3 linked regions of the Arabidopsis thaliana genome follow. The protein of the gene in region 1 purifies or fractionates together with the protein of each later gene. This does not show direct contact. Each region holds a gene or a part of one and is shown in the gene's direction. Other genes may lie near its edges.

Evidence for each region. Proteins that work in one complex are often made in the same cells at the same time.
Region 2: the proteins of EIF2 ALPHA (region 1) and ABCF4 fractionate together in Arabidopsis thaliana (co-fractionation; one large-scale study listed by BioGRID). This does not show direct contact.
Region 3: the proteins of EIF2 ALPHA (region 1) and CAND1 fractionate together in Arabidopsis thaliana (co-fractionation; one large-scale study listed by BioGRID). This does not show direct contact.

What each region holds. Positions count from the first base shown.
Region 1 is NC_003076.8:1,615,901-1,622,840, forward strand, and holds EIF2 ALPHA (eukaryotic translation initiation factor 2 alpha subunit), read left to right. Parts: upstream 1-4,557; 5' UTR 4,558-4,678; coding exon 4,679-5,062; intron 5,063-5,174; coding exon 5,175-5,231; intron 5,232-5,327; coding exon 5,328-5,414; intron 5,415-5,498; coding exon 5,499-5,645; intron 5,646-5,745; coding exon 5,746-5,850; intron 5,851-5,957; coding exon 5,958-6,056; intron 6,057-6,158; coding exon 6,159-6,314; 3' UTR 6,315-6,437; downstream 6,438-6,940. Other genes in the region: ENGase85A (Glycosyl hydrolase family 85), read left to right, coding at 1-92, 341-478, 564-673, 761-872, 964-1,071, 1,173-1,285, 1,364-1,445, 1,543-1,623 and 3 more; AT5G05480 (Peptide-N4-(N-acetyl-beta-glucosaminyl)asparagine amidase A protein), read right to left, coding at 6,438-6,940.
Region 2 is NC_003074.8:20,186,862-20,195,161, forward strand, and holds ABCF4 (general control non-repressible 4), read left to right. Parts: upstream 1-2,932; 5' UTR 2,933-3,031; intron 3,032-3,519; 5' UTR 3,520-3,531; coding exon 3,532-5,703; 3' UTR 5,704-6,079; downstream 6,080-8,300. Other genes in the region: AT3G54530 (uncharacterized protein), read right to left, coding at 1-58, 170-337, 418-648; AT3G54550 (DNA-directed RNA polymerase subunit beta-beta protein, putative (DUF506)), read right to left, coding at 6,766-7,097, 7,182-7,374, 7,461-7,802.
Region 3 is NC_003071.7:686,820-694,504, forward strand, and holds the start of CAND1 (cullin-associated and neddylation dissociated), read left to right. Parts: upstream 1-2,964; 5' UTR 2,965-3,116; intron 3,117-3,492; 5' UTR 3,493-3,525; coding exon 3,526-3,561; intron 3,562-3,643; coding exon 3,644-3,819; intron 3,820-3,919; coding exon 3,920-4,127; intron 4,128-4,416; coding exon 4,417-4,582; intron 4,583-4,860; coding exon 4,861-4,990; intron 4,991-5,175; coding exon 5,176-5,290; intron 5,291-5,502; coding exon 5,503-5,660; intron 5,661-5,747; coding exon 5,748-5,871; intron 5,872-6,033; coding exon 6,034-6,084; intron 6,085-6,165; coding exon 6,166-6,248; intron 6,249-6,344; coding exon 6,345-6,429; intron 6,430-6,502; coding exon 6,503-6,604; intron 6,605-6,701; coding exon 6,702-6,800; intron 6,801-6,921; coding exon 6,922-7,032; intron 7,033-7,232; coding exon 7,233-7,316; intron 7,317-7,511; coding exon 7,512-7,652; intron 7,653-7,685. Other genes in the region: AT2G02550 (PIN domain-like family protein), read left to right, coding at 565-999, 1,778-1,945. UniProt on the Arabidopsis thaliana protein: Key assembly factor of SCF (SKP1-CUL1-F-box protein) E3 ubiquitin ligase complexes that promotes the exchange of the substrate-recognition F-box subunit in SCF complexes, thereby playing a key role in the cellular repertoire of SCF complexes.

The sequences.
Region 1 (6,940 bases):
ATTTGATGGACGTTTTCGTTTACTTCTCTCACTCTCTAGTGACTCTTCCTCCTCCTTGTTGGACCAACACTGCTCACAGACATGGCGTCAAAGTAAGTCAATGTGTTGACTTTTCAAAGTTTAGCTGATTTATATAGTTAAAGTAACTCAAGTTTCGATCATTGAATGTAAGTGAGTAAAGTCGTTGCAAGTCGTAGAAAAAAGTTGAACTTTGATTAGAGAGGAAATGAATAAGTGATAGGGAGTTTGGTTGTCTTGGTCTGTGAAAGCAGAGAAGTACAATTATGGTTGTTATAAGGAATGATTCATTTTCTTGTGTGTGTTTTATGGAAATGTTAAGGTATTGGGGACTTTCATCACAGAATGGGACGAAGGAAAAGCTACCTGCAAAGAGTTGTTGGCCACAAAGGAATCTGCGCAGATGTATGCAGAGCGTTTGGCTGAACTTGCTGCTGCTCTTGGCTTTGATGGCTGGCTGGTGATTTTTCTTTTTGCTATATATGGATCTCTTTGTTCAGCAATATTATTGATAATTTACTTTGCTTGTGAATTGTTACTTGCAGATAAATATAGAGAATGTAATAGATGAAGTTCAAATTCCAAATTTGATGGTTTTTGTAAGCCATCTAACAAAAGTCATGCATTCATCTGTACCTGGAGGTTTAGTTATATGGTGAGTGTTGAGAAGCTTTTCTTTTTGTCAAAATCATTCATCTGTTTCTAGACTATACTGATCTTTTCTATTACTTTTTTTTTGTAGGTATGATAGTGTCACTATTGATGGTCATCTTGCTTGGCAAGATCAGTTAACCGAGAATAATAAACCTTTCTTTGATATATGCGATGGTATATTCATGAACTATACATGGAAGGTTTGGCCTTTCACTTCAATCAATCACTTCATCTTCATTCATCTTATATGTTTTGATTGTGATATGAGTACTGAGTAGGTATCTCTTTCAGGAGAACTACCCCAAAGCATCAGCTGAAATTGCCGGTGATAGAAAATATGATGTCTACATGGGAATAGATGTGTTTGGTCGGGGAACTTACGGTGGTGGGCAATGGACTGTATGTATCTTTATTCTAACAAATTCATTCAACCAGTAGTCTGCAATGTTCAAGCTGCATATAAAGTTTTTATACGTTTGTTCAATTCTTTTGTATTGTAGGCAAATGTTGCTCTTGATTTGCTGAAGAGCAGTAATGTATCAGCTGCGATATTTGCTCCTGGATGGGTATACGAAACCGAGCAACCCCCGGATTTTTACACGGCACAAAACAAGTAATACTTGCAAATGGCCAAATGTGATGGTAAAATTAATCTTTGCAATCTTATTCATCATATGTTATCTTTCTTTAGATGGTGGTCACTTGTTGAGAAGTCATGGGGTATAGTTCAAACATATCCTCAAGTCCTACCTTTCTACTCAGATTTTAATCAGGTGAAGTCAAACTTTGTTCCCAATGAATAGATGCAAATGAGCATGGCTATTCTATGTTCTACTGAGTTTTGAAACTCTCCACTTGTTTATTATATAGGGCCTTGGTTCTCATACCTCTCTTGGAGGTCGGAAATTATCAGAAGCTCCCTGGTACAACATCTCATGCCAAAGTCTACAGGTTCAATGGTCACTCCTTGTTCTAGCTTTTATTGCACTAGAGCTCATTTCCTTTTTTGTCACATTTTTAATCTGGACTTATCTATATACCAATTTGATAATTTCTTCTGCTGTGTTCTTTGTGACAGCCATTCCTAGAATTCAATGAAGGAAGGAATTCAGAGACCATTCAGGTCACTGTTGAGTGAGTTCTGACCCTAAATCCCTAATACTAGCCTCATATTTGATTTTCAAGAAGCTTAAGAAGAAATTGTTTTGGCATCTAACAATTAAGCACACATATATGCTAGTGGTCGAGAAGCATCTTATAATGGAGGAGGGAACGTCAGTTTCAGAGGAAAACTAAAGAGAAATGCACATTTCACAGCAAGACTATTCAAACCTCAGCTTCAGCTCTCTGCTGCCCCAATCTCAATCTTCTTTTCTGTAAGTTAACGCATAAGATTTGAGCTCCTCCTCATCTTTACAAAGTTTCAATCTTTAAGTTTTACTCATCATGTAAGTCTTTGGACTGGTGCAGGTGAAGTCAGATAAAAGATCCGAGCTAAGCATTCTGCTCCATTTTTCATCTCCTTCACAAGAGAAAAAGTCCATGCTTATGGTGCCAAATGAATCTATCAACAGATTTGGCGACATGTTCCTGCCATGTCTTCTCACATCAAAACAGACCACATCCGGTTGGACAGTACACGAAACAAACCTTGTTTTAGATGGGCACACACTGACTGAGATATCTGCCTTCTGCTCCAGACCAGATGATCTCACAGAAGAAACAAACACACTAGAGTATTTTGCATTGCTTGGACATATCTCCATCAAGAGCCAGCAAAAAGCCAAGGTTTATCCTCTGGCGTCATCATGGGTTATAGAGGCTCATCACGTAAAGTTTGTACCGGGTGATTCTGGCTCCAAGACCTTAAGTTGTAAGCTAGAATGGAGATTGAAGCACCCTGAAGAAGATTCTGTCTTTCCAAAGTACAATGTATATGCAGAGAATCTGAGTTCGAGTGAGTATAGACCAAGGAAGGTTATGGAAGAACCAAGAAGCGAGAAAGTGTTTCTTGGAACAGCTCATGTTGATGCTTATTATGTCTCTGAAATGGTCGTTGGATCAGATGTGAAGGGAGTCCGGTTCGTGGTTCAAACCTGTGGTGAAGATGGTTCATGGCAGGAGTTGGATGCTTCCCCTAACCTTGTGGTTGAAGTAGAGCGTGTGAGTTCAAAGCTTTGTTGTTGTGGGTTGATTTGAATTATGGTTCATTTCCGAACCTGCGATCTAATAAGACCATTGATGGTTTGTTTAGTCAGTTCAAGGATATGAACCATACGATAATGAATTAATGATTATAAGGTTGATAATAATAACAAACCTTTTCATGCACAGATTCTTTGCCTTGTGGTATATGTTGGTCCTTATCTGAAAGATTCAAAGGACGACGACTAGTCTCAGTTTCACTCTCAACTTGTTCATTCCACTAAAACCGACAAGTCAACACAATGAACATAAAGAACAAACAAAAATACACATCCAATGGAGGAAGAAGAACAATTTACTGCTCCAAATGAAACATAACAAACGAGCTTAGCTTTCTAGTTTTAGTAAAAGTTCTGGGCAACAAAGTAAAAACAGAGCAGGACAACCAAAAAATTCATACCAGAACTATAGATTCGATGATAACAAAGACGATTAACAATGATTAAGGTTTATACATATTTTAGCACTCACCAGTTGAAATCTGAAAGCGTGAATCTAGTTTTTGCCTAAGGAGAGGAAAAGTAAATAATAACATAGCTAGCAACATGTCTACTATTTCATTTTTTTTTTGCGTTTCTAAACCAATCAGAAGGCTCTATTTCGTACCCACTCGCAGAAAGAGCGCGTTGAGCGAGTGAGAGCGATTCTGTGGGTAAACCCCTTTCCAATTCATGCCTTTTTGTATCGACGCATTTCTCTCCAAATTCTCTATCGCGTGACTTTTTTTGTTTTTTTCTCAAAACCAATTGCTAACCGGACCAAAATCATTTTTAATTTCAAAACCAAAGTAAACCAAACCGAAATCAATTTCAATTTGCAATTCTGGACAAAAATTTCTGGCAGTTTGCATGATTTCTTAACAACTTAACTCAAAATCACAAACTATGAACCGATAGAAAAATTTACAAAATCACAGTAATCTTTGATCATTACAAGAAGTGTAGGAAAGGATTAAACTTTTAAATTCCAAAAATCTCAGAATCAAGGCAAAGAAGATTCCTGAAGATTTTTACTTCCATGACATCCAATAGAGGAAGAAGAACAAACCATTGATTCAATTAAAACATTGCAAACGACTGAACGAGCTTAGACTTACTAGTTTTAGTAAATTCCTTGGCAACAAAGTCAAAACAGACATGGACAAAAAAAAAAACCAAAAAAAGAACTGTAGATTCGATAAGAACAAGCAAGATTTGTAATAATTAAGGTTCATAAAGATTAGACTCATCTGAAAGCATGAATCTTCGTGTTCGCCTTTTAGTTCTAACTTACAATTTCCTTCTTTTATGTTCTTTGGTGTGAGGTCGAAGAAAGGAGAGAAATGACTATGAGTGAGTGGTCACGATTCGAAATACTTCTCGATGAACTTTTCCCAAGTTAAAATAATGGGGTAAACTAAGAATATTTCGATTATTAAGAGGTTGAAGTTGTAAATTAATTTACGACATATTACCAAAAATACACAGCTCATTAAGTTAAGCTAATCTCAACATTTTAATCTCTTTATTTGAATCAATTAGTTTCATAACCTTTTTAGTAATTTCAGTACTTTTATTTTGTAGATTAAACGGTATCGTTAGCAAGCCAACTACAAAAACGGTGTCGTACTAGAATGGGCCGTGAGAATGTGAGCGACTCGGCGAGATTGAAGATTATACGACGTCGACTATTTTTAACGACAGAATCGTACCAATTTTGAAAACCCTAAATCTCAATCCTCGACGCTCTCTACTAAGAAACTCAATCTTACTTTCTCTGTAATTCGTAGCTTCCGAAATCTTTTCTCAAGAATCTCATAACCATGGCGAATCCTGCTCCGAATCTAGAATGTCGTATGTACGAATCGAGATACCCTGATGTAGACATGGCGGTGATGATTCAGGTGAAGACCATCGCTGACATGGGAGCTTACGTATCTCTCCTTGAATACAACAACATCGAAGGAATGATCCTGTTCTCCGAGCTCTCTCGCCGTCGGATTCGTAGTATCAGTAGCTTAATCAAGGTCGGTCGTACCGAGCCTGTTATGGTCCTTCGTGTCGATAGAGAGAGAGGTTACATTGATCTCAGTAAACGTAGGGTTAGTGATGAGGACAAAGAGGCTTGTGAGGAGAGGTATAATAAGAGCAAGCTTGTTCACTCTATCATGCGTCATGTTGCTGAGACTGTTGGTGTCGATTTGGAGGTATATTCATTCATACGATTCTCTGACTCTTCTCGAATTTGTTTGAATGTAGGTCAATGTTCTTGAACTGAAACAAGGTCCAATTTCTGAGGAAAAACCTTCTTTTTTGTAGGAGCTATACGTAAACATCGGTTGGCCATTGTATAAGAAGCATGGACATGCTTTTGAGGTAATAGTTCCAAAGATTTTATTATGTAATAGTTGGCCCATTGTCGTTTGTACGAACTATGTTGTGATGGTGTGTACCTTGGACTGTGTGTTTCAGGCTTTCAAAATTGTTGTCACTGATCCTGATTCAGTTTTCGATGCTCTTACCCGAGAAGTTAAAGAAACTGGACCTGATGGTGTGGAGGTAACAACACTCTTTGCCTTGAGCAGCCTTCTCTATCATTGTTTTAATTTGATCATGAAGACTTATAACATATCTTCTGTACAGGTGACCAAAGTTGTCCCGGCTGTGTCTGAAGAATTGAAAGATGCATTTTTGAAGGACATTAGGAGGAGAATGACACCACAGCCAATGAAGATTCGTGCTGATATTGAATTGAAGTGTTTTCAGTTTGATGGAGTTCTCCACATCAAGGTCAGTCTTTTCCTTTTTCTTATCTGTTTTTTTTTTTTGTTTTCTCTGTTTGTTTTCTACTTCTAGCTAAAGATGTTTGGCTATTATTATGAATTTACAGGAAGCCATGAAGAAGGCAGAGGCTGTAGGTACTGATGATTGTCCAGTCAAAATCAAGCTCGTTGCTCCACCACTTTATGTACTCACAACTCACACCCATTACAAGGTATGTTTATGGTTGTTGGGTGTGCTCCTATTTATAAGCGGAAACCGTTTTGAGATACATTGAGGATTACATAGTAACATTGACACTTTCTTGTTCTGACTGAGTAGGAAAAAGGAATAGTGACTCTGAATAAAGCAATTGAAGCATGCATTACTGCAATTGAGGAACACAAGGGTAAACTTGTCGTTAAAGAAGGTGCTCGTGCGGTAAGTCTTGTAGCCTTTTTCTATGACTAGTTGACTGAATTTGCTACTTCAGTCACTCCTTTTCTTCGGTTCCGTGACTTTAATGTGCTACAACATTTTTAGGTGAGTGAGCGTGATGACAAATTGCTTGCTGAGCACATGGCTAAGCTTAGAATGGATAATGAAGAAATGAGTGGTGATGAGGGAAGCGAAGATGAAGAAGAAGACACTGGAATGGGAGAAGTCGATATCGATGGAGGTAGCGGGATAATTGAATGAACAAAAGCAAAAGCATTGTAACTGCTGTTTCTGCTTTAGATCCTACAATTTTGTTTCCCTTTGAGCAAAAACAGTATTTTTTGTTTGACCCCAAACATGGTTAGTAGTACAAGCATCTCTTATTCACGACAAGTGTTTCATAACATTGGTTATGATAAGCTGCTCAATAGTGTTGAGCTCTGAGAATGAAGACGAAGTACAAGAATCAGATGAACTGTCCTGGGCAATCTCCCCATTAGCCGCAACGATGGTGCGGGAATAACAGCTGAATTCATCGATATAGCTAAGACTCTGTTTTGTGCTCGCTTCACCAGCCAAGACATTGTGATCTTCAACCTCCATCCAACCCTCTGAGTCTTGTCTGCTATAAACTTGGATCAAAGCCTCTCCATCTGAATGTGTCTCATTCAAGGCGTGTGAAACATTCGTCACGAGCATATACGTATCCTTGTCGTTGGTTAACCCTCTAAGAGTAGAAGTGATCACTGTAAGAGGATATGTCCGCTGGTGCACGACTCGATTCACCGGTTTACCCGATTCAGAAGTCACCTCCACGATCCGTTCGGTCTTCACTCTCTGCTCAACCCTCTTGTATGTTCCGTTTTTCTCGAACCTCACCAAGCTGT
Region 2 (8,300 bases), on another chromosome or scaffold:
GTACCATATTTTCTTGTGCCAAGCTTTTACAACCGTGCGTCAAGAAGAATTGCTTACCCTAAACAAGTATGGTTCACATAAATAATACATAATATGATTTACTGAACTATGATCAGTGCTTCAATTATATATCCTAAGTTGCTAGAAAAACTGGTCTATGGGAACATACGTTTGTTGGTGTTTCTCTTCCTCTTTGTGATGCTTCTTCTGTATTCAGCTTGTCAAGAACATTCTGCAGTTGCTCTACTACATTTTCGATGTGATCGATACAGTAGCCAACCCAGCGACTGTGATGTCCTGGACGTTGAAAAGCAATGTAGTACATATACCTGTCTGACTGTCCATAAAGAACTGGCCCTATAAGTTTCTAACAACTTTACAAATATTCACTATTTTGTTTTATGTATTGATGCTTACTTGTAGTTCTGTGTACTTCTCGTAGGTGTGTTGATAATCTTGCTCGAGCTTTTCCAATCGCTTCTTTGCTTCTGCAAATGATGAACGCCCAAATGAGCCAGGGCATGGTGAAACCATGTTGCAGGAAAGTTTCTCGGAGCCCTTTTTACTATAGTTGCATCCCATACCAACTGAGATGGATATTGTTTTGAAATTAGAAGTTTCCTGACCATCGGCTTTGAGATTTTCCATAGCTTCTTCTGAGTGTTATATGTATTTTAGCAAGCAAGTTTTTACATGGAAGCCTTGTTCTCTTGTGTTGTTATATAGAGAGAAAAAACATTGTTAACATAATAAAATAAAAACTCTCAGAGCTGATTATGCAAACCCTTGCACCCCACTCCAAGAAAGTCAATGGCTCGTCTCCAAAAGAATCTTCTTTTGTGTATTCTTTCTTTTTGGTTATTAATTATAGTTTGACCATCTGTCTCTTCTATATATTATCATCTACTTGAGGCATAAAATACAAAGAAATGTTTGTCATGATAATTAGAGCTTATTGTGATTAAACAATGAAATGTGAATGATTGGGATTTTGACAAGTCTTCAATCTAACAGATTGTCACGAACAGGTTGTGGTCACATTAAGTTAAGAGTAATGCTTCCTTAGATCAGTCTTACTTACTACAATGGCGACTAATAGTCATATAGGCTGCTCAACAACCTTAGCACGTTCTTGCTGCTGCAAAGCCTCAAATTCCCCTCCTCTTTTATCCTGTATCTGCTTGATTGATTCTTAGAAAACTCTGTGTTTTATTTTTGAATATGTGTATCAGTAGGTATCTAGGTAATACAGAATGTCAAGTTTGTATGTTTTTTTTTTCCGGAAATAACTTACCTCTTCTCTGTTCTGTTCATGTTGAATCTTTGTTCTCGGTCTCACGATTATGCTCTGCAGTTTTACGCAGATTCTCACTCATAATTTCCATAGAGCCATACTCTTTCAGTATTGTGTGATCTTGTTCTGTAACCAGATCAGCTGTTGATTGGTCTCAGAGATCTGCCTCAGCTACTTAACAACCATTTCTTGGTAAGATTTCATCTCAAATTCCAGCCTCGTTTGGCCTAATGAGTAATACATAAATACATATGATGCATTCACAAGAACCAAAAAAACTCTAAATCCCATTGAAAGGACTAGAAATGTTAATGATGGGTTAAAACCCACTCGGTACCCAAAACCCACATAAAATTTTAAGCCCATAGATCTATTTTTTCTGGAAAAAAAAACATAGGTTTAAAATGGGCTGGGTACCCAAATAAATAAAACCCATATGGGTTTACCTCATTGGGTAATGGGTACCCACGGGTTTTTTTCAGTCCTTTTTCAGGTGAATCAACATTTTCTCGTCAAAAAAGATTTCACATTTTTCCGTCAAAACCGCGATTTAACATTTACCGCCAAAAAAGACATTCAATATTTTCCCGCTAAAAAAGACATTCAACATTTTTCCGCCAAAAACGACAATCAACATTTTCCCGCCAAAACGCAATTCAACATTTTCCCGCCAAAAACGACATTCAATATTTTCCCGCCAAAACGCAATTCAACATTTTCCCGCCAAAAACGACATTCAATATTTTCCCGCCAAAACGCAATTCAACATTTTTCCGCCAAAAACGCGATTCAACATTTTCCACCAAAAATAATTTCACTTTTCCCGCTAAAAACGCAATTTAACATTTTCCCGCCAAAAACGGCATTCAACATTTTCCCGCCAAAAAGGATTTCACATTTTCCGGTCAAAAACGCAATTCAACATTTTTCCGCCAAAAACGCGATTCAACATTTTTCCGCTAAAAACACAATTCAACCTTTTTCCCATCAAATATATATGTAATACAGAAAATAAATATAATTTAAAATATATTTATAAGCAAATTATAGATACAACATACATATAATAGTATATTAGCAGTTAAAATAAACTCTAAGAAAATGACAAAAACCAAGTTGGGTACCCACGGGTAGTCTCAGAACAATCAGGTTTTTTCGGGCTTTACCCACTAAATCAAAAACCCATCTGGGTTTTGTAAAGTTGGGTTTTTGGTGGGCGGATTTATTTTGGGTTCAGGTCGGGCTGGGCTTTTTTACCCACCACAACATCTCTAGACAGGACTTAAAACAAATATCGAATATCTGAGGGAGAAGAACCTTGATGTTGTTCATTGAATGACTTAGAACATATACTGAATATCTGAGGTAGGGAACCTCGTGGCGCATGTTATTATTGTTTGGATGATTTGATTAATTCGGATTTCGATCATACCTATGTGTGTATAGAACCCTTGATTTTGAATTAATTAACAGAATTATGATATATGTCAAGAATAAATGATGTTAACTATTTTCATAAGTTGAATGCTTTACTTCAATTTGGAAATTAGAGAAAAGGCCCAAATATTTCAGCTGTAATAAGCCCATAATGAGGCCCAATAAGACACTAGAAAGGAGTTGAGTAATAACTAAGCGATTCTCTTCTCTCCGTCTGCTTCAATCCCCTTTTTTTTTTCGTTTCGTCGTTTGTTCGTTTTCTCTATCGCTCTCGTTCATCTACGCAATCTCTCTCACTAGGTGAGTTTCATATTCTTCTCTTTGATATTCTTGTGGTGAATTTCGTTTTAGATATGTACCGAATTGAAGTTCCCTCTGTTTTTTTTAATCAGATTCGGATCGATATCTCTCGTTTAACAGTTTTAGGTTTTCATTTGCTTATAGTTGTGCTTTTATGAAAAGTGAATTCCTCTTAGGGTTCGTCTATTAATTTGCTAATAAATCCTAATTCTTTGATTTATCCTCTTTTGAAACGGATTAGATGGTAAAGAATCGAAATTGATTTGAGAATGCATCAGATTTGTTTATATGAATAATTATTTACTGGGTTTCAATAAAGTTTTGAGCTTGAGCTTTTTGTCACCATTGTCAAGTAGAAAAACCCTAATTCTGGAGCTCTGTTACCAGTACCAGAGGCCTGAGTTTGGTAGTTTTCGAATTAGCTTGCTAGATAATATATGATTATTCGTTTGATAACTTATTGGCTGTTTATTGATGTTTCATGTCAGGTACAGTTTTAAATGGGTAAGAAGAAGTCAGACGAGAGTGCTGCTACCACAAAGGTGAAGCCAAGTGGGAAAGATGCTTCGAAAGATTCTAAAAAAGAGAAATTGTCAGTCTCGGCTATGCTTGCAGGCATGGATCAGAAAGATGATAAACCGAAGAAGGGCTCATCATCTAGAACCAAGGCTGCTCCGAAATCTACATCTTACACTGATGGCATAGATCTTCCTCCTTCTGATGAAGAAGACGACGGTGAATCTGATGAGGAAGAGAGACAGAAGGAAGCAAGGAGGAAGCTGAAGAGTGAACAAAGGCACCTTGAGATATCTGTGACTGATAAGGAACAAAAGAAGCGAGAGGCGAAAGAAAGATTAGCTCTTCAGGCTGCAGAGTCGGCAAAGAGGGAGGCTATGAAGGACGATCATGATGCATTCACGGTTGTTATTGGAAGCAAGACCTCAGTGCTTGAAGGAGACGACATGGCTGATGCAAATGTTAAGGATATTACCATAGAATCTTTTTCTGTATCTGCTCGAGGTAAAGAGCTTTTGAAGAATGCTTCTGTCAGGATTTCACATGGTAAAAGGTATGGGTTGATCGGGCCAAACGGAATGGGAAAGTCTACACTGTTAAAGCTTTTAGCTTGGAGGAAGATTCCAGTGCCAAAGAATATTGATGTTCTTCTTGTTGAGCAAGAGGTGGTTGGTGATGAAAAGAGTGCTCTGAATGCAGTTGTCTCTGCCAATGAAGAGTTGGTTAAGCTACGGGAAGAGGCTGAAGCTCTGCAGAAGTCGTCTTCTGGAGCTGATGGAGAAAATGTTGATGGTGAGGATGATGATGATACTGGAGAAAAGCTTGCTGAACTGTATGACAGGCTGCAGATTTTAGGGTCAGATGCTGCTGAAGCACAGGCATCCAAAATTCTTGCGGGGTTAGGTTTCACAAAAGATATGCAAGTGCGTGCGACTCAGTCCTTCAGTGGTGGCTGGAGGATGCGAATATCATTAGCTAGAGCTCTGTTCGTGCAACCTACCCTTTTGCTGTTAGATGAACCCACTAACCATCTTGACCTGAGAGCTGTTCTATGGTTAGAGGAGTATTTGTGTCGCTGGAAGAAGACACTAGTTGTTGTTTCACATGACCGGGACTTCCTCAACACAGTCTGCACGGAGATAATACATCTCCATGACCAAAATCTCCACTTCTACCGTGGTAATTTCGATGGTTTTGAAAGCGGATATGAGCAGCGTCGCAAGGAGATGAACAAAAAATTTGATGTCTACGACAAACAGATGAAAGCAGCGAAGAGGACTGGAAACCGGGGTCAACAGGAGAAGGTAAAGGACAGGGCCAAGTTTACTGCTGCAAAAGAAGCATCCAAGAGTAAGTCAAAGGGCAAGACAGTGGATGAAGAAGGCCCAGCACCAGAAGCTCCAAGGAAGTGGAGAGATTACAGTGTGGTGTTCCACTTCCCAGAACCAACTGAGCTCACTCCTCCTCTTCTGCAGTTAATTGAGGTTAGCTTCAGCTATCCCAACAGGCCAGATTTCAGACTCTCGAATGTTGATGTAGGTATCGATATGGGGACACGGGTTGCGATAGTTGGGCCTAACGGAGCAGGAAAGTCCACTCTATTAAATCTTCTTGCGGGAGATTTAGTTCCAACAGAGGGTGAAATGAGAAGAAGCCAGAAGCTGAGGATTGGCAGGTATTCTCAGCATTTTGTTGACCTTTTAACAATGGGGGAAACACCGGTTCAGTATCTCCTTCGTCTTCATCCTGACCAAGAGGGATTTAGCAAGCAAGAGGCAGTGCGAGCGAAGCTAGGCAAGTTTGGGCTACCAAGTCACAATCACTTATCTCCAATTGCGAAATTGTCTGGAGGACAAAAGGCTAGGGTTGTGTTCACCTCGATCTCAATGTCAAAACCACACATTTTGCTTCTGGACGAGCCTACAAATCACTTAGACATGCAGAGTATAGATGCCTTGGCGGATGCACTAGATGAGTTCACAGGTGGAGTTGTGTTGGTGAGTCACGACTCGAGACTCATATCACGTGTATGTGCGGAAGAGGAGAAGAGTCAAATTTGGGTTGTAGAAGACGGAACAGTGAATTTCTTCCCAGGCACATTTGAAGAGTACAAAGAAGATCTCCAAAGAGAAATCAAAGCAGAAGTTGATGAGTGAAGTTTTGTTGTTAGCTTCTAAGGTAAACTCAAACTCCTTTATGTTTTATAACAAACTCAAAAAGTTTTGGACAATTTTATTTTTAGCAATCGTGTTCTTTCATCATTTGTGCGTTAATTACATCATATATGACACTATATACATCAGTTTCTCCATATTACATATGTTCTGAGTGTAGGGTGTTGTGTTTTGGGGGAAGAAAACAAAAGACATGTGCAATTCTTTTTCAACAGTGTGTTTCCATTAGAGCCATAATAACCAGCAAATGCTTCTTTATATTTTTAGCTGTCTGAAATTTTGCTTAGTTTCTCTCGTTTATTATTTTTGGCTCTTTCTCTCTCTTTTGGTAGTTTTGGCTTTCTTTGGTTGATTGTGTTTACCATGCCTCTTCCTTTGTGTTTATTTTGATTAAGATAGTGAGTATCATATGATTGATTTAGGGTTCTAATCTTAAAGTAAGCTTGAGATTCAGAAATTGAGCTGAACGGGTAGAGATTTCGTGTTGATTTTCTGGACTTCACGAAATTAGGAATTTCAGGGATTACTTAGTTCTTTCGTGCTCTATTCTTAGCCATAGGGTCACCTAGATCAGCCATCAAATCTTTCACAGAGCTCAGGTCGTTTTGAACATGATAAATCAATGAGTCAGAGTTTGTGTATGGTTTAGAGTCAGAAGATGCATTTTCAGCAGTGTGATATCCTTGATTTCGTAACCTTGATATACATTGTTAGAAGAAATTTGTCTAAATGGCTTATCTTTTTCGCTTTCTCTGTTTTTAGCACACTCTGTTTCGTGCTTTTCTCTGATTGGTCTCTATTTTTGTGGCTGTCGTTAATCTTTTTATAATTATTTTGAAGTCAATTTAAATGAAAGCAAAAATGCAATAAAAATAAACAAACTCAAAAGAAAGATTGGTTTCTTCTACAAGGGATCAGAAGAAATCTTAAAAACAACAAAGAGGATATGATCATGATCCTTAAAATCATACCCTTACAACAAAAAACAATCAAAAGAGATTTTAATCCCATGTGTTTATTGATAATTAAGCTAATATTATATATTTAAGGATGGACAACACCAGCTTGTCCACTGGTTTCTCCTTGAGTTTGCTTAGTACGATCATATTGAGACACCCATTTGGTTAACAAATACTCTGCTCTCCTCCATGGTGGCATAAATAGCCCTTTCTTCCTAAAGCTCGTCTTTGCGGCTTTAGACAAAAATACCACAACCTTCGTCAACCTGTCAACTTGTCCAACAAAGACGTAAGGCAATGTCTTCGATATCGACTCGTAAGTCTCACTCGATCTAGCAATTTCGAACTTCGATTGGAAATCAAAGTCGATGAGCACTCTTTCTCCTCCAATGTTAACATCCAAATACTCATAGTCCCCTGTTTACCATTTTCCACAAAAAAAAAGGTTATTTTCTTAACAGTTTTGACACTTAGAGAGTGGATCAAAATGAAGAAACGTACCAGCGGGAACACAATACGATTTCGTTTTCGATTTCTCCCAGCGAGATTTGCATATTGCTGCATCATAGCCTAAAGCCACCAGTTCATCAACAACATTTTTCAGTCTGGACTTATCTTCAACCTCTCTCTCAACGATCTCGGTTGTTTTCGTCTCGAGATCACGCTCAGATACGTTCGCACAAAGTAAAAGACTCTACAAAACATTGAAAAGAAAAGAAACTCTGTTTATAACAGATTCCAAACATCAAATGTGAGCATCAGAGATATTATTCATCATACCTTGAGGCTTCGAAGAACTCTTCTAGAAGAAGAAGATTCTTCGTCGTCCTCGTCAGAGCTATCAGTACCACTTCCACTGAAGCAGTTGCATCGGTTACGAACAATGCACTTTGATTGTTTCTCACTGTCTGGATCCTCGATATAGTTCTGCACCATCCTCCTCAAACAGACCGAGCTCGGTTCGATTTCTTCGGAATTTTCTCTAGAAAGCGATGAATCTACACCGGCTAAGTTCTTCAGAGAGAACGGACGTTCAAAAAGCCGCTTCAGTCGAGATCTCGGCGCTTGTCTCATCCCTACACCATTGATGTTGATAGGCTGGACTTTGGAACGGAAAGGCATGGCTCAAAACGTACGAAATGTTTTTCTCTACGTCCAAAAATCCCTGAGAAGGTGTGCAAATGAGACGAAACAAAACTCAAAAAAAAAAAAAAAACTAGATGAGAAAATTCAAACGTTTATGATTGATTTACTTAAATTTTCTAGAGGCATAAATTTAGAGAAAGAAACACATTAAAAAAAAAAAGGGGAAAAGATCACTTGGATGGTTTTTAGATACGGATTGATACTCGAGGACACGAAAACGTCATGCTTTTAATGCTTAATTTTTATTTTTGTTTATTATAAGAGATGTTGGAAATCACTATGTGGATGATGTGATTTTGGTTTAGATTTCTCCAAAAATGCATAGGAGATTATCTTCAAAGTTTTGTAAGGGAAAGAAGAAGTTTTGCTAACAACTTAGGGAGGAAGAAACCAATGTTTGATGCTTCTTATATAGGAGGACAGAAAGACCTATCCATGTATCATATTGGGAAAGAAGTTAATTTGTCTCTATGA
Region 3 (7,685 bases), on another chromosome or scaffold:
CATAATACGTACGGAGCTCCGATCCATCATCAAATTCTTATGTTTCTAATTACGAACACTACCCTCTGTTAAATTGGTTTAAGATGAACGTTGTTTATGAATGATGTGTATGATGCATTATTGAGAATGTTGTTAGAAAAAAAATATTTTAATACTGAAATAATTTTTTATTGCATGAGTGAATGATTAGATAAATAAAAATTATATTTAAATTAAACAATACAAAAGAATCCGAAAAAACTGCGACGTATCGAGAGTGATCACCTAATATATATTATAGTTAATAGAAAAACTTCCAGAAAATATAATAGAAATACAGTTGAACCAAACCGAACCGGGTTAGGTCCGTACGATGAAATCGGCCAGCAAAATCAAACAAAATTATGGAAATATATAACAATAATAATATAGAAAAATGTAAACTAGGAAAAAATGAAAATAGCAGAAATAATGGAAAGGAATAGCTAACGGGAAATTTTGACTCTTTTCATCACACTATATATATTGACACACACTCCTTTTTGTTATTGCTTCAAAAAGAAAAAAAAAGAATAATTGTAAGCTATGGGCTTCACAAGTTTGTACTCTCTCTATGGAAAATCCAAGGTTCTGAAATCAATTAGTTTTTCCGCTCTCAACAGTAAAACTCTCGCAATTGACGCTTCAATGTGGTTATACAGAGGTGCTTTAAATAATGCCCGGAAATTCTTGGAGGAACCAACTACACCCAACTCTGAACATATAATGTTTGTCATCAAAAAAGTCAAACAATTCATCGACCGTAATGTGAATCCTATTCTTGTTTTCGATGGACATCGTTTACCTATTAAGTCACCGCGGAACCCAATAAAAACTCTAGAATACGCAAAGGATCTTGACGCATCAGCACAACTTATGGCTCCCGATGACCCTAAGAGAAAGGACAAAGAGAAGAATGCTACTAAGATCTTTCAAAGTCATATACACATCACGCCTTATGTGATACATGTTTTCATTGAGGTAACATTTACGGTAAATAATTATTTTTAAGAATTTTCACTTCTTTCTAATTTTTTATTAACCTTTCTTTTTTCTCCCATTGAAGGTTTAAAAAAAAAAAGTATCCGAATATTGAGTTTATCGTTGCTGCTCACAGCTTGTATATTTGGCTAATAATAAAGATAAAAGCGTTTATGCGGTTCTCACTATTAACACTGACCTCATACCATTTAGATGTTGAAGAGTAAGTTCTTTAATACACTTATCAATTATTATTATTTTAAAGGTTTTTCTCATGTAGACATAACATTAATTTTTACTACCACTTTAAACTTTTGTGTGATCACAAATTATTTTCGCCAGTAAAGACTTTGAATTGCTTGAACTCGAAATGATAGACTTATTGAAGCGGTTTCATAGTAGCAAGAAAAATAAAGACAACGAAAAAGAAACTAAAGAAGAAGCAAAATCTTACGATTTTTCAGAATTCACAGACGATAATTTTCTGGAGATGTGCATTCTTTGCGATTGTGACTATTTTAAATGGCCATTAACGGAGGGATCCGAAAGAGCATATGAAATAATTGGTACTAAAACTATACGTGGTAGAGAGGTACTTTTTACTTGGTTTAGTTCAAAATAGTAGTATACTATACATTTAGATTTTGTATTTGCATGTATGATGACATGATGTGTGTTATTCATTTTCTTTCAGGTAATAGAGGAACTACTAGAGGACAGCACTGACCTAACTTCTCATCTGAAAAAATTCATAATTTTGTTGCTTTTCAAATATTAGTATGTCTATAATCAAGTAATTGAAGAGCTTCAACACTTGAATGTGCCTGAGGTGTCTAACCTTCCATTCTTGCGTGACCGTGAGTCTGGCGATGAATTTGTCATTCGAAAGTATGAAGATTCTACGGGCACATATTTGTCAACAACTAAGACTAAGGAAATAGCATAAGGAAGACTTAATCCTGAAACCCACGAAAAATTTACACACGTGGAAGTGGAAGAAACAGATGACGAAGAAACTACTTAGACAAAAGTATCTAATAATTTGAATTTCGAAGTTCTAGTTCAAAATAAAGGAAGTCTAATTTCGACAAAAAATCTCACATCTATACCATATTTTACGGTTTTAGTTTTTTTTAGTCGTTAGCAACAATGACAATCAGTTATATTTTGTTAACTTTATAATCGTTAGCGATGACTATCGACAATGAAATCATGTTTATTTGGTAGTCGTTGGGTCGGGAACATTTAACAAATGATTTTGATTCAATTTTTTTTTTTTCTTATAAACCTTATCGGCTGATCTGGTTAGCCCTAGTAAAAACACACCGAAATGTTTTCGAGTGGACTTCTTCCCGAAAAACCACCATACTGTCTGTCTGTCACGAGTTTGAAATGCTTTCTGACTAATGCCAGGGGGTAGTCAGGCGGCCGCCTACATTTCTAATTACCAAGTAAACCAATTAAACCAAGACCCAACTTATACACTTACCAACTTTCAAGGAGAATCGAACTCGGGTCTAAGAGTTTCATCCTTCCCAAAGCTTCCCCTACCACTAAACCACATATACTTGGCCTAGGTTGAAAACTTTCAGTGATACAATTTTTTACTTGCTAATCGTTCAAAAATATTGACCATAAATTGTCGATGAACCAATGGCTAACACTATTTAGTTGGTTGGTCGCAATCGCATAGCATGTCCCTGACACAAAAAAAGCAAACAAAAAAAGAACTACTTGGATCAAACAAAGAAACCCATGCTTGGGCTCAGACTGAAAACAAAGTAATTGGGCCAAACCCATTTAGTATTAACCGACTAATCAAGTCCAACAATGTACAGCATGAAATAAACGCTACCCATTAACCGACTCAAATCGCACCAAGTCAGGCCCAATTAATCCTACACAGGCCCATTTAGAAGAAAGTTAACTTCCTCCTTAAGAAGAGAGAAGGGCTAAAAATCAAGCTTTCACGAGTACGGAAATTTACAGTATCTCCTCCATCTTTTTTTACTTTCCTCAGAGCTCTCTCCTCTCCGCAACTTCCACCACCACCAAATCGGAACTCTCGGCGTTCTACTCCGTCTCCGGCGTTACCTCCGTCGATTTCATCTTCTCAGGTTACTTAGGGTTACCTCTTTTTTGCTTTTTGATCGATAAAGTGTGATGATGTCTAGCGTTAACTCTTTTCGTCTTCGTAGTCGTAGTCTTAGGGTTTTGGTGGCGACGATACTTTGATTTATCAAACCGAACTTCTTCTTTGTGATCTTCGATGAATCAAAAGTTTTCTAAGGGATATTAATTAGGTTTTGTTACCGGCGATAATTAATCCATCTTCGATGCTTCTTCTTTACACTTCTGACTTTGTTTCTGATGTTTTAACCTCTGTGGAGAGCTTGATAGAGTGACATTGCTCTGACTAAGCGTTTTAGTTCAACGCATGGTTGATTCTCTTTTTACTAAGTAATGAATTTTGAGATCCTTGTTTGATTGCAGTTGGAAGGAGTGAATTGAGAAGGTCGGGCCAATATGGCGAACTTACAAGTTTCTGGGATACTCGAAAAGGTCTTTTCATCATCTGTTTCTAATTAAGCTTAATTTTGTTTTTGAGTATAGTCACCTTTTCTCATTGCTGTATTTACTATAGTTTCAGATGACGGGTAAAGATAAAGATTACAGATACATGGCAACCTCTGATTTGCTTAATGAGTTGAATAAGGATTCCTTTAAAATCGACCTGGACTTGGAGGTGAGATTGTCGAGTATCATATTGCAACAGCTCGATGATGTGGCTGGTGATGTTTCTGGATTGGCTGTTAAATGGTTAGCTTTCTGCTCTTAGCAACTTATGACCTAAGCTGATGTTATACTTTTACATTTAGCTGATCTATCGTCGACCTTTGATGTTATGATTTTGTTCCAGTCTTGCTCCATTGGTGAAGAAGGTTGGAGAAGAACGAATTGTTGAAATGACCAACAAGTTATGTGATAAACTGCTGCATGGGAAAGACCAGCATCGTGATACCGCAAGCATAGCTCTCAGGACTGTTGTCGCTCAAATTGCTCCTACGCTTGCTCCATCTATTCTTGTTACTCTAACACCACAAATGATAGGAGGAATAAGTGGCCAGGTTAGTTGTTGGGAGGTCTATTCCTTATTATTTCGATTGCATATGCGACAGTGCTTAGGGTCGTCCTAGACAATTTCGGATCCCATCAAAATCATATTGATTGACATCTATTGGAAAATTAGTTGATTTTACGTTTTAAGTTTTATTGGATCTAATACAGTTAAAGAACTCTGTCTGAAAAACTCTTAGTAGACCAGAGCACAGTATATGCATATAATTATTTGTCTACTCTAAGGTTCTATCATCTTATTTTACAAGTAACTAATTTTCTGCGTATTTACTGCTGAAGGGAATGAGCTCAGGGATCAAGTGTGAATGTCTTGAGATCATGTGTGATGTTGTTCAAAAATATGGAAGTTTAATGACGGATGATCACGAGAAGCTATTGAATACATTGTTATTGCAATTGGGCTGTAACCAAGCCACAGTCAGGAAGAAGACTGTTACATGCATTGGTAAGTTCATAAAATTGAGTCAATATGATTGCTGGGTACTGTCGGTACTAATGTCAATATTTAGCTAATTTGAAACCAACTTTAATCTGCCGAGACTTGAGTGGTAGCTTTCCTTATCTATATTAGAAATATGGTTTTCAGCTGTTTGCGTCAATTCTTGTGAAACCGATGCTAGTTCAAATGATATATTCAATGTCATTTTTTTCCTAGTCGTATATAGAACTCTTAATTCGATGGTATATAGCCTCTTCTAAGTTCAAAATTTTGTGTGGTGTCAGCTTCTCTTGCTTCCAGTCTGTCTGATGATTTGCTCGCGAAGGCGACTGTTGAAGTTGTGAAAAATCTAAGTAACAGGAATGCAAAATCGGAGATTACACGTACCAATATTCAAATGATTGGAGCTTTATGGTACTTCCTATCTTCCTTCTTATCGGCTTGTTATATATCTTTAACTTCTTACCATACGTTACTGTAGTGTTGTAGTATGCTTCGGTTAGTTGTACTTGTGCTACCTATTTATTGATTGGGATGAATGGTTATCTACGACTAGGCTTGCCATGGTTGTAATGCTATTTAATGCGTTTTTGTTTCAGCCGTGCTGTTGGTTACCGGTTTGGCACTCATCTAGGTAACACTGTGCCAGTATTAATCAATTACTGCACTAGCGCTTCAGAAAATGACGAGGAGCTTCGCGAGTATAGCTTACAGGTATCGTGCAAGATTCCCTAATGTTCCTACTTTCTCACTACGCTTGCATTTTTTGTTTTCTCATCTAATTTTTGTAATCAGACAATTACTTAGGCGTGCTTGTAGTCTCTTTTCTTTCCTATGCTATTAAATTGGAATTCTAATCTTAGGTTCAATAAAATTGGTATGAACAATGTAGACGATAACATGTCTGTTCTGAAATTTGACTGCAGGCACTTGAAAGTTTCTTGCTACGATGTCCCAGGGACATCTCACCATATTGTGATGAAATTTTAAATCTTACTTTAGAATATATTAGTTATGACCCGAATTTTACGGACAATATGGAGGAAGATACTGATAATGAGACTCTTGAAGATGAAGAAGATGAGTAAGTTCTGATTTATTCATTGGAACAGTAGCCTAGCTCCTTACGGTGCACCATTATCTCACTGAAATAAGTCTTTCTTTCTCACAGCGAGAGTGCAAATGAGTACACAGATGATGAAGATGCCAGCTGGAAAGTTAGGAGAGCAGCGGCCAAATGCCTAGCAGGATTAATCGTTTCGCGTTCTGAGATGCTCACTAAAGTATATCAAGAGGTATATCTTTTTTAAATGATCAAGCGTATTATCTTTCATGACGGGAGTGTACAAGATTCCCTTACACAAGAGTTTTTCATTCTTTTACCTGTGTTTGATTAAATATGAAACAAGAATCTACTATAGAATTATTGTTGAGGAGTTTAGTCTCTTCTTGTGCAGGCCTGCCCGAAACTAATTGATAGATTTAAGGAAAGGGAGGAAAATGTGAAGGTATGTAATTTAATCCATTAATGCTCTATTCTTGCTTTGCAATATGGTTATTGATCTAAGACTGAGGTACTGTTGTTACAGATGGATGTATTCAACACATTCATTGATCTGTTGCGGCAAACGGGAAATGTTACAAAAGGTCAAACTGACACCGATGAATCAAGGCAAAAATTCTGAGTCCTTTCACTTCAATATGGATGGTCTGTCACATTTCTGATGAAACCCTGCTAACTAAATATGTATACCTTTGGTTTATGCAGTCCAAAATGGCTACTGAAGCAAGAAGTCTCAAAGATTGTGAAATCCATAAATAGGCAACTGCGCGAAAAGTCTGTTAAGACAAAGGTATGAAAGTGTTAAACATTCTTTTTGGTTTGGTTCCTGTTTGATACTTTCATAACTTCTTTCATATCTGTAGGTTGGAGCATTCTCTGTTTTGAGAGAACTTGTGGTTGTCCTGCCTGACTGTCTTGCTGATCATATTGGTTCACTTGTTCCTGGAATTGAAAGGGCGCTAAATGTTAGTGGATATATTCATTACACTTATTTATGGACTGTCACTGTCAGTGTTGCTCTTTTTCAAGTGCTCATGTTTTCTCTATTTTTTACTTCTCCAGGATAAATCTTCTACATCAAACTTGAAAATTGAAGCTCTTGTCTTCACCAAATTAGTCTTGGCATCACATGCGCCTCCTGTTTTTCACCCTTACATTAAGGTTGGGAAACATTAAGTGGTTTTCAGTCTATTGATATATTGCCCAAATGTTTGACTCCCTACACTTCAAAACCCAGTTTTTGAAAGTAAAAACTGACTCTTGAACTTTTTTGTAATTCTAGGCTCTTTCAAGTCCTGTTTTAGCTGCTGTTGGTGAACGCTATTATAAGGTGACTGCTGAGGCATTAAGGGTTTGTGGGGAACTTGTCAGAGTAGTACGCCCAAGTACTGCGGTGAGTATCTCATTGCATTTAGATGTCATGTACACATTTACTGATTTCAGTCTTTCCTCTTCATTTATTTAGAAGTTTGAACCATATATATATACCCATATACAGACTCACAATTTTTTTGCCGTTTCTTATTTTGTGCCGAAGCTATTTATAAATCACAGGCTGAAACATCCGCTGATATTTTTTCTTCTGTGGTTTAGGGAATGGGCTTTGATTTTAAACCGTTTGTTCATCCAATCTACAATGCGATAATGTCCCGCTTGACAAATCAAGATCAGGACCAGGTCTGTAGCATAAATCCCCCTTTTTAGTCTTGTTTATGAAAATCCATACTTCTTCGGGCAATAGACTTAATAATCTTATTTGAACTCTTTCTATTCGTCATTATGTTTAATTACAGAATTGGAAAAGCAGATTTCTGCGTTTGTATTTGTAATTTTGTGTTATTTACATTTCGTAATATCTCTTCCCTTCAACAGGAGGTCAAGGAGTGTGCTATCACCTGCATGGGTCTTGTGATTTCAACATTTGGTGATCAACTGAGGGCAGAGTTACCTTCATGCCTTCCTGTGCTTGTTGATCGAATGGGAAACGAAATCACTCGCCTCACTGCAGTAAAGGTTGTTCTTGGGCTTCTGTTGAAGCTTTTATTT